2 linked regions of the Caenorhabditis elegans genome follow. The protein of the gene in region 1 purifies or fractionates together with the protein of each later gene. This does not show direct contact. Each region holds a gene or a part of one and is shown on either strand. Other genes may lie near its edges.

Evidence for each region. Proteins that work in one complex are often made in the same cells at the same time.
Region 2: the proteins of dapk-1 (region 1) and ptrn-1 purify together in Caenorhabditis elegans (affinity purification with western blotting, with the first as the bait; one study listed by BioGRID). This does not show direct contact.

Annotation. Positions count from the first base shown.
Region 1 is NC_003279.8:1,303,342-1,308,687, forward strand, and holds the start of dapk-1 (Death-associated protein kinase dapk-1), read left to right. Parts: upstream 1-2,220; 5' UTR 2,221-2,233; coding exon 2,234-2,340; intron 2,341-3,587; coding exon 3,588-3,812; intron 3,813-4,138; exon of another isoform or gene 4,139-4,283; intron 4,284-4,518; coding exon 4,519-4,857; intron 4,858-5,346. UniProt on the Caenorhabditis elegans protein: Negative regulator of epidermal barrier repair and innate immune responses to wounding.
Region 2 is NC_003284.9:17,026,901-17,032,325, reverse strand, and holds the start of ptrn-1 (Patronin (microtubule-binding protein) homolog), read left to right. Parts: upstream 1-2,125; coding exon 2,126-2,179; intron 2,180-2,664; coding exon 2,665-2,766; intron 2,767-3,025; coding exon 3,026-3,127; intron 3,128-3,178; coding exon 3,179-3,292; intron 3,293-3,805; coding exon 3,806-3,891; intron 3,892-4,183; coding exon 4,184-4,404; intron 4,405-4,591; coding exon 4,592-4,652; intron 4,653-4,704; coding exon 4,705-4,853; intron 4,854-4,909; coding exon 4,910-5,190; intron 5,191-5,425. UniProt on the Caenorhabditis elegans protein: Required for microtubule stability and anchorage by binding to the minus ends of microtubules.

The DNA of each region.
Region 1 (5,346 bases):
CAGTTCTTCCGGAAAACTATTAAATTCAAAATATTTCAAAATGGCAATATTTTTTAATAGATTTTAAAGAATCAATAAAGTTAAATTTTTCCGAAAATCGATAATTTAGGAAAACTACTAACTGAAAATCAATAACTTTTAAATTTTTTCCAAACATTGACAAACAATTTAGTGAAAAATCTGTAACTTTCACGGGGTTCTCATTGAATTTTTCGCGCTCCATTAACAACCTGCCGGACAACGCGTGGGAAAGTGTCGTGTACTCCACACGGACAAATAAATTTAGTTTCACAACTAAAATCGAGCCGCGACGCGACACGCAACACGCCGTAAATCTACCCCAAATATGGCCGAGCCAAAATGGCCTAGTTCGGCAAAAACTCTTCCATTTCAATTTGGGAAGCCTGAAACCCGTGTAGAGTTTAAAGAATCAATAATTCGAAAATTCGAAAAGTCAATTAGTTAAATTTTTCGGAAAATCGATATTTAACTTCTAAATTTTTTCCAAAAATTGACAAGCAATTTAGTGAAAAATCTGTAACTTTTGAATAAATAAATAGAGTAGAGTATGTACGTACGTCCAAAATATTCGATAAATCGGATATTTTGAAGTTTCCGGAAATTATCGATTTTTAAAACTAAAAATCAAATAATGGCTACGGTTTCTAAAAAAATAAAGATTTTTCCTCCGAAAAAAACCTGTTTTTTTCTAGAATTTTTTCTCCAAAAATAGCAATGATACCCCCGGGGGGTCCCCGGGAATTGTCGAAAATATCATCTCGTGTGCAAAATGCTTCTTTTTCTTCTTTGCTCTCCCCCCACCAGTCAGTCAATCATTTCTTGTCCGTATCTCCAGCAGTGTCATCATTTCAAAACATATTACACAAACTTTTTCCCCCTACTATTATTATTATTATTATTATTACTACTATCATGTCATTGCCGCCGAGTTGCCGAAAAGGCGTCAAGCATTATTTTATGCCTCTTTATTCTTCTACTTCTTTTTCTTCCTCTATCTGTTTTTTTTCCTTTATTTCTTTTTTTTCGGCGCGCGCCACAGCAAATTTATTGTACTGGTTTTTGAGAGAATGATATGATTGTTACGATACACTCTCTGATGTCTGATGACTTCACACTTTATCATTTGAAGCTTCTGAAAGAGCGACTCTAAAATCAATTTCTCTTCTTCAAACTTGCGCGTAGGGTTTGGTGTTTTGAAGTCTGATCTACTGAGATTTATAATATTTTATATAAATAATTTTCCATGGAACTGAGAATTTTGAAAACCCGGAAAACTTTTTTTAACAGTAAAAATTTCAGCGAAAACTACGAATTTTAGGATCCACAGAAATCGAAATTCCGGGGATTTAAATTCCGGGAATTTGGATTCCGTAGAACCAGGAGATTTCTTGGTGTTTCCTAGAGTTTTCTGTAAATTTTCACAAAAACAACATTACGTTATGTTATTTACAAAAAATTAGAACTAAAAACTCCGAGTATCTCGATCCACGGAAACCAGAATACCTGGAATTTTAATTCCGCGGATTTGGAAACCAGAGACTTTTATACTTTTTACAGTAAAAAGTAGAGTTTATCCCAGCTTTTCACGTTTTTTGCGAAATCAAACAGAAAATACTTTGCAATTTTAGTCCCGGGAATTTATATTCCGTAGATTTGAAACCCCGAGATTTTGTTATTTTCTATTGTGAAATTAAAACACACAAAATTTACAATACCACGTGGTGCCAGAGTGTCCCATTTCGGTTTGATCTACCTAGATCTACAAAAAATGCGGGAATTTATCAACTGATTTTGCATAGTTAAAGACGTGCTGAGTGACGTCACATTTTTTTGAGCAAAAAATTCCCGCATTTTTTGTAGATCAAACCAAAAATGGGACAGCCTGTGACTACGTGATTTTGCCCTTATGGTTCAACACCCTGCAGATCTCAATGCCTTTTATTGATCAAAACTTTAATATTATATTTATTCTTTATGTATTTTCTTTTCCACTCTTCTAAATCTCCACACCATTAACATTCTCTCTCAGCTGATCCAATTCCCTCTTCTTCTTCCATCAACTAGACTCATTTCCTCCCGCATTCCTCCACATGTCTGTCTTTTCTTTTGCATTCATTTTTCGTCATTTTCACCTTACATTTTATAATTTTTTGCTTTGAAAACTTTAAAAACGATATTTAAAACAAGATAGGCTTTCAGTAAATGCGTCAAAATGTCAGATGACGTCAATAGCTCTGCAACTTCTACTTCTTCTTCAACCGTACACTTTGACGATACGCCGTTCGAAGATGTCTACGAAATTGAAACAGAACTTGGAAGGTTCGTTTTTTGTTGTTTCATTTTCTGCCTGTTCACCCGGATCCAAATGCGAAATTAGTTGCAATATAACAACATTCCGCTTCATTCTTTACAACATTGCCCCTTTGTTTATTGCAAGGAAGCAGAGACAAAGAATGTGAATGTGTTTAATTCTCCCGTTCTTCTCTCAGGAAATGAAGGGACATTAAGTGGTTAAAAATTTGCGCGTAAGATTTGATGTATTTGCTGTGCCAGTACACGGTTTGATCTACAAAAAAATGCGGGAAATGTTTCGCCCAAAAAATGTTTCGAATTTGAATTTGAATTAGGCGCCGAATTTTTTGTTTTTGGAAAATCTGAGATTTGAAATTTGGCGCCAAAATTTTCGAAGAAATTTTTTCGTGAAAAAATTTCAAAAACAATACATTGAATTTAGCGGTAAAATTCGAAAATTTTATTTTAAATCTAGTGCCAAAATTTTTTTGGAAAATTTTAATCTGAAAATTTGAATTTCACGTCAACTTTTCTGAACAACTTGGCACGTGGTGTCAGGCTGTCCCATCACGGTTTGATCTACAAAAAATGCGGGAATTTTGTGCCCAAAAAAATGTGACGTCAGCACATTCTTAACCATACGAAATCAGTCTAAAATCCCGCAATTTTGTAGATCTACGTAGATTAAGCCGAAATGGGACACTCTGGCACCTTGTGGCATTGTAAATTTTGTGTGTTTTTAATGCGGAAATTTGCATAAAAATATGACATTTCGGGTTTCAAATCTACGGAATGTAGATTCCCGGGATTAAAATTGAGAAGTATTTTCTGTTTGATTTTTACAAAAAATAGTGAAAAGCTGGGATAAACTCTACTTTTTACAGTAAAAAATATGAAAGTCTCGGGTTTCCAAATACGCGGAATTCAAATTTCAGGTATTCTGGTTTCCGTAGATCGAGATTCTCGGAGTTTTCAGTTCGAATTTTGTGTACATAACGTGAGAAATGCTGTTTTTGTGAAAATTTACAGAAAACTTTCTCAAGTAAAAAAATCTCCTAGATTCCGTGGATTCCTAGTACAAAATCCACGGAATCTAAATCCCCGGAATTTTCGATTTTTTCCGCATTTTTTGTAGATCTACGTAGATCAGGCCGAAGTGAGACACTCTGAGACCACGTGTCAGTCTCTCAAATTTTAGAAGTCGGCGACGACCTAGCTTTCTAAAATGTTGCTCTTTGAATCAACACCCACGCTCACCCAGTTTATTTTTGCAGCGGACAATTCGCGGTAGTCCGACGGGTCCGAGATCGAAAAACCGGTGAAAAATATGCAGCAAAGTTTATCAAAAAGCGGCGATACGCAACATCTCGTCGTGGAGTCACTAGGCAGAATATCGAAAGAGAAGTTCGAGTGCTACAGAAGATTCGTGGAAATTCGAATGTGGTGGAGCTTCATGCAGTTTATGAAACTGCCAGTGATGTTATCATTGTTCTTGAGTTGTGAGTTTTTGAAAGGTTTAAGATTTAAGTTTTAAAAATTAGTTGAGAAAATGTTTCAATAAATGTGTTTTAATTTTTGCTCAACTTTGGCGGCTCATAACTCGGTTCTTCTTAAATTTAGCACAAATTGATTGTTAAAAAAATGTTTATCACATATTTCTCAAAAATGTTGTAGTGAAACACTTATTAGCATATCGTATATAAAGCAAAGTGTACGCTGCCAAAAGTCAATGAGAAAAGTGGAACATGGTGCATCGACGTGTTTCTACACTTTAATAGCTTATACCTCATTTTTTTGGATATATCAAAAACTTATCAACTAATAACGTGTTTATTACCTAAATTTCTACAATTTTGTAGTTGAAATTTTTTTGATATCTTTAAAACAACCCGAGTTATGAGCTGCTAAAGTAATCTATTTTTTTGTATTTCTACTTAATGTTTGGCAGCTCGTATCTACGTTAGTTTCGACGTTATCAAAAATTACTCAATTAACAAAATATTGCTCACACAAAATTGTATAACACTATAGTTAAACATGTTTTGATATCTCCAACATACGCTGAGTTATACGCTTTCAAAAACATGGTGCATTGACTCCGAGGTGTGAGTTATTAAAGTAGAGGCTGACTTAGAAATTACTTTTCAATTTTTTGAAAAATGTATTCTAAGGTTTTAATATGGTTCTAATCATAAAAAATTTCAGAGTATCCGGCGGCGAACTATTCGACCACGTCTGTGCAAAAGAATGCCTTGATGAAGTTGAAGCAGCAGCGTTTATCAAGCAAATCCTTCTTGCCGTACGACACCTTCACTCCCTCCATATCGTTCATTTGGATATAAAACCAGAAAATGTCATGTTAAAACAACGCGGCGATTCGCAGATCAAAATCATCGATTTCGGGTTGTCAAGAGAAATTGAGCCGGGAGCAGTGGTAAAGGATATGGTCGGAACGCCAGAGTTCGTGGCTCCAGAGGTTGTCAACTATGAAGCCTTGTCACCGGCGACTGATATGTGGGCCGTGGGAGTTGTGACATATATTTTGTAAGTTTAGATAGCTAGTGTCACCCAACTTTGACTATATCTCTAATCAATTAGGAATTATAAAAAAAATCAAAAAATATTTAGTTCATGTTTAGCAGCTCCTATCTCGGCCAATTTCGAAGGGATTGAAAACTTTTTAACTACAAACTTATAAAAAAAACAAATACAGAATATTTTGACATTAATAATTTTCTTACAAGTCAACTGACTACCGAGATATGAGCTCTCAAAGCTTAATGCGGTAGGCCCTGTTGATGCACATGTGCAAAAATAGTTTAGAAGCTCGTATCTCTGCCAATTTTAATAATATCAAAAGATATTCAACGACAAAAATATAGAATAATAGGTAAACATATTTTGTTAGTGGGCCACTTTTTTGATAAAGTCAAAGGCGATCTAGATAAATTTTAAGTTTCAGTCGTCTTAGTAATCATTATTAAAAATGTACTCACAAGATGTCGGCTGCTTTATTACCTGCCATGATTTCAG
Region 2 (5,425 bases), on another chromosome or scaffold:
CTAAACTTGTCGTGCAAAACTGGTTTTTTAATGAGGTCCTCAAAAACATAATTGTAAATTTTTCTCATTGAGCTTCTATCAGGTTGTCCCATAAGTTTTTGTACTTTTTTTCAAATATTTTTCCAAAACTTCTAGAAAGTTTTAAAATTTTTTCATCGTAGGTCGTGTCAAGGTCGGGTCGTCCCCTTTCAGAAAAGATTCATTTCATCCATTTCTACTTTGCCACGATGACAATCATCAAACTTGAACGTCGAGACGTTAGATTGCTTCTTCTTTATGAATTTCGTCTTGGTCATTCAGCAATGGAAGCGGAACGAAACATATGCGGTGCGATGGGTGAGGGAGCACTCTCTTATAATACAGCAAAGAGTTGGTTTCAAAAGTTCAAGAACGGCGACTTCAGTCTCGAAGAAATAGAACGTTCTGGGCGACCGGTAGAGTTAAATGAAGAAGACCTAGTGAAGCTGGTGGAGGAAGAGCCTCGTCTTAGTCTTCGTGAAATGGAAGAGAAGCTTGAGTGTTGTCATAGCACAATTGCACGTCACTTGGGTCGCCTTGGTTTTACTTCAAAACTTGGAATTTGGGTGCCTCATGAACTTTCGGCATCACAGAAGCTCACTCGGGTCAACGTTTGTACTCAACTTCTAACTTTTCGTCGAAAGTTCGATTGGCTGAACAATCTGGTTACTGGAGATGAGAAGTGGGTGCTCTATGTTAACCATTCCAGAAAACGTCAATGGCTTCCGATCGGTGAGAAAGGAATACCGACGCCAAAGCCTGATCTTCACCCAAAAAAGATTATGATCTGTGTCTGGTGGGGTGTTCAAGGACCCGTGCACTGGGAATTGTTGCCAACTAATAAAACTATCACTGCTGATTACTATTGTGCCCAATTGGACCGAGTTGCAGAAAAGACCAACGGAAAATATGAAAAACTATATTTTCTTCACGATAATGCTAGGCCTCATGTCGCCAAGAAGACTTTCCAAAAGCTGCATGATCTTGGTTGGACTGTTTTACCGCATCCACCATATTCTCCAGATCTTGCACCAACCGACTACCATTTGTTCTTGTCTCTCAGTGACTACATGCGCGACAAGCAATTCGACGACGAAGAGCATCTCAAAACTGAACTCTCCACTTTCTTCTCATCGCGTTCGCCGGATTTCTTCTCCCGTGGCATCATGATGTTACCTAGTAAATGGCAACAAGTGGTGGACACTAATGGTGAATACTTGTGTGAATAGTACTACTTGTCGCTTGAGAGAAATAAATTTTTTTCAAAAAAAAAATAGTACAAAAACTTATGGGACAACCTGATACTTCGAAAAACTATGACAAAATATTTCCACCTGCCCACCGATTTAAAAAACCTCGGAGAACACCGCAGCAAGCTCCAATCTAATTATAATTAAGGCAAAATCAATACGAAACCGTGAATAATACCTCTTCATGTGTAGAAAAAACCTTCTGCGTCTCTTGCTCCTCTCCTACATTCTCCCTCTATCTCGACCACCGCCAGTTGAGGGAGGGAGGCGAAACGGTCAGCAGCAGCCAGCAGCAGTCATCTTTTGCTGTGTTGTATGTGTGTGTGTGTGTGTGTGTGTGTGTGTGTGTGTGTGTGCCCCAGTCGTTTCCTTTTCCTTTCTCTTCTCTCGTTTTCTTGTTCTTCGTCGCCTCCACCATCCCGAACCCAGGGCCGACAAGTGAGATGCGGCGAGGGCACCCCCCAACCACGAGCCCTCGGCGGGTTTCTCTCGGCCATTGTTAACCCCGGCCCCCGTCCGTCCTCATCCTATGCAAAGCAGTGAAGTGGTGGTGGTCTCATTCGCAAACCCCCAAACCACCAAACAACACATTATTATGCCCAACACCACACAAAGTTCGAATTTTTCCTGCCCTTTTCGGTATATAAAATAGGTTACACTTTAAAAAAATCTGAAAAAAAGAGTTTCTTCCTCAAAACTTCCCTTTGCGACTCTACTTCTTTTCCCTCTCTCTTGTTTAACCACTTGTGTTTGTTGTGAAATCGAAGTCGCATATCCTCTATCTTGTTCCATTTTTTCGTTTTTTACACTGCTACTTGTAACGTTTCTTTTGTTTCAGAAACCCAGGGGTCCTTGCAATGGACTTCCCTTTGCCGGCTCTGCTTGCAATAGAGGATTATGATGAAAATGAGGTTTGTGGGCATTTTTAAATAGTAAAAAAATTTAAACTTATTAAAAATACTAATCGAGTAAAATAAATCAATAAAAAATAAGACTTACCCCAAAAGGTATCGAGGTCTAGATAATGAAAATGGTAATTCAACCAAAACATTTAGTTAAACTAATTTTTTAAGATTTGAAAAACACTCTTTCTAAACCTAAAGTTGAAAAAAAGATTGCTGGAATTTTTTAAATGTTAAACACTGACATTTTTTTTTGAATACTCTGAATTTTTTCAATTTAAATTGTACTTTTTTTCCTTCACCCCGTTTATCCAACTCAGCGAAACGCAGACCTAAAAATGCAATGCCCAAAACTTTTTGAAGAATTCTGTCAGAGGCAATGCATTTTTAGCAGTGTCCTCTGCCGGGCAATAGAATACGAAATGAAACATCACCCCGCAACAAGTGCACCAAAAAGAAATGCGAATAGGATGATAAAATTGATGGAATTTCAGGGTAAACTAGCTGCATCGATTCGATGGTTAATTTCACGGGTTTACGAAGAAAAACGAGATATGCCGGATAAATTAAGGGACGGAGTGCAGAGGGATGAAAATGTAAGTTTTTATTTGACTCGTGCTTAAATTTAAAAAAAACTAATAAATTCAAATTTGAAAACCACAATTTTCAAATTTTTCATCAGAAATATTATTATTTCTAATTAACTGCTGAAATTCCAAATTGAATAGCTTTTGAAAATAACTTTTTAGAAGCTGCTTAACTATCAGAAATCTTAGTTTTTCTGTAACGAAACAAAAAAAAGTATCCCAATATCTCCAAAACCAAAATTCCACAACAACCTCATCAATTATTCAGGGACACTTTCAAATTGACGAAGCCGTCGTCGGAGCCCTGTGCAATGGTTCGTTGTACGCACAAGCTGCTGCTAAGATATTCAAGGAGTCAGCGCTAGTTACTGTGAGTTTGTTCGAGGATGAGCAGCTTGTTCACTATTAATTTAAAATTCAGAAAGGCCATGGAGCAGTTCTCGCGGTGCTGACCGATTATGGAATCGATGTATTGCACGACGGAAATGAATTGGTGGAGGAGGCGCAGCTGGTTGCTTCGGCTCCTTTTAATATGGTAAGGCTTTTTATGATTAAAAACATAATTTTTTGTTCTGAAGACTTTGAATGCACTTTCTATTTTAGGGAGCTGCCAAAGGGTACGAGAAAATTTTTTTAATTTTCCAAAAATATAGTTTTGTTTAGCGGTGTTTGAAAACCTACGGAATTGATCATTTTGTTTTATTTGACATGAAAATAAGTTAGTTATGCATTGGAAATTTTGAAAGTACCTCAAAAAGTTCCTTAAAAAGTTTAAAACTGCCAAAATCTTACTTGACAAGTCACAAATTTCAGGTAGTTTTGAAGATTTTTTTCATATCTTTCAGCATAAGTACGTGCTGTTCTGAAATAGATTGAACTTTTTTAAACATAATTTTCAAACACTTTTTGTCCAAATTAAAAAAATGGAAGGATATACACAAGTACCGTTTTTCATTACAAATTTTTAAGATTCTTTAAATGGTACACAAAATTACACAGTCTACTTCTGAAAATGGTATTGAAAAATTGCAAAAAAATTTAATTTCAGTCTGCACACCTTGCAATAATTGATGCTCTTATGATGGCACACCTTCGAGATGTTATCCCAGTCAGTCGGGTGGTTGAAGCAGTAAGGTTGGTTAATTTTATCAAACTCAAACTCTTGCGTTGAAGCTGTTAATGACTATAACAAAAACACGTGAGACAGAATTTTCAAAAAAAAAAAAATCATGCTTTCGATTTGATGCTAAATTCACATATTTTCAGTAACTCTGCTATTTAGGTTTCTTAAAATTTTAGCACACCCACCTTTTCAAAAAATTCCCCAGCAGTTAAATTGATGCTATCAAAAACTAACCAGTTTAATGGAATTTATTTTCTTATTTATCGCAACAAAACTTCCTCATTCCACTTTCCCTTATTCCAGCCGTCACACAGCTGTGGAGCCCAGCGAAAAGCCCATCGACAGTGTGGATGCTCTACTTTTCTGGATAAATAAAATATGTCTTCTAGTTAGAGACGATGTAGAACGGGAGGATTCGAACACGAATATTCCGGAAATGGAGGATTTGTACGAGGATATTTCAGATGGGCAGTGTTTGTGTGCTCTATTGCATTGGTACAGACCGCATGAAATGCCTGTAGCTGGTGAGTTTTTCTCTCTCTTAAGATTAGGACCATGACTTTTAGGTTTGAGACACTTTAAGCTTGACAATTTTTGAGTACAACATATTCAGTTAAATTTGGTCGACAATTAAGTGATAACTTCAATATAAGCCCAAGGCGACACTCAAATCTATCCACTACAAACTAATTTTAAAATGAAATATTTCAGATATTTCGTTCAACGATTCAGCGACCACAAGAGACTGCCAATATAACTTAATGTTGTTACAGTAAGTCACCTCATTTTGTGTGTCACTTCACACCCTCTTTCCCCATTTCCAGACTATTCTGCCGACACCACCTCGCAGTTGACCCATTCCACTTCGAGATCGAAGATCTGCTGTACCTGCGTGACTCACTACAAATGAATGTGAACGCCTTCCTTGCTGACCTATTCGTTCAATTCGAACCGCCAGTTACACCAGAACCAGGTAATTACTTCAACCTATCTCACTCTTCCACCATTACTGAAAAATGATGATTCTAGTTGAAACACCACGCATCGGACCTTCTCCTCGACGCTTCGTGCCGGCATCTGCAATTCCTGACCTTAGAGCTGCAAATGCGGCGGCGAGAAGTTCAATGCACAATAGGAATCGACCAAGAATGTATAATCCACCTCCAGCTGTTTCACATTCTCAAGGCCCGTCGAGATCAGTGAGCAGAATGAGCCAGGACAGTTTATTTTATTCTCGTCCAGCATCGATTGCACTACAGAGGAGGAGCATGGATCAAGATTCTGTGACCGATTTTCAAACCATTCGGCAGGTATGAAAACTTTTTATTTGTTAAAGCTCACGTGTAGTTGGTGAGATTATTAATTTTTAAAAACATTCGCTCTTATATTTTAGTCTAAATTTCCAATATTGAGTTACACAAATTTGACGGTTTTTTTTCGAGAATTCTGCACTACACGTTCTCGAACTCAATGAATTCTTTTTTATTTTTGTCAAATAATGAAAGTCCTTCTTTAAACTTGAGCTCGCGTTAATATTATAGAGAG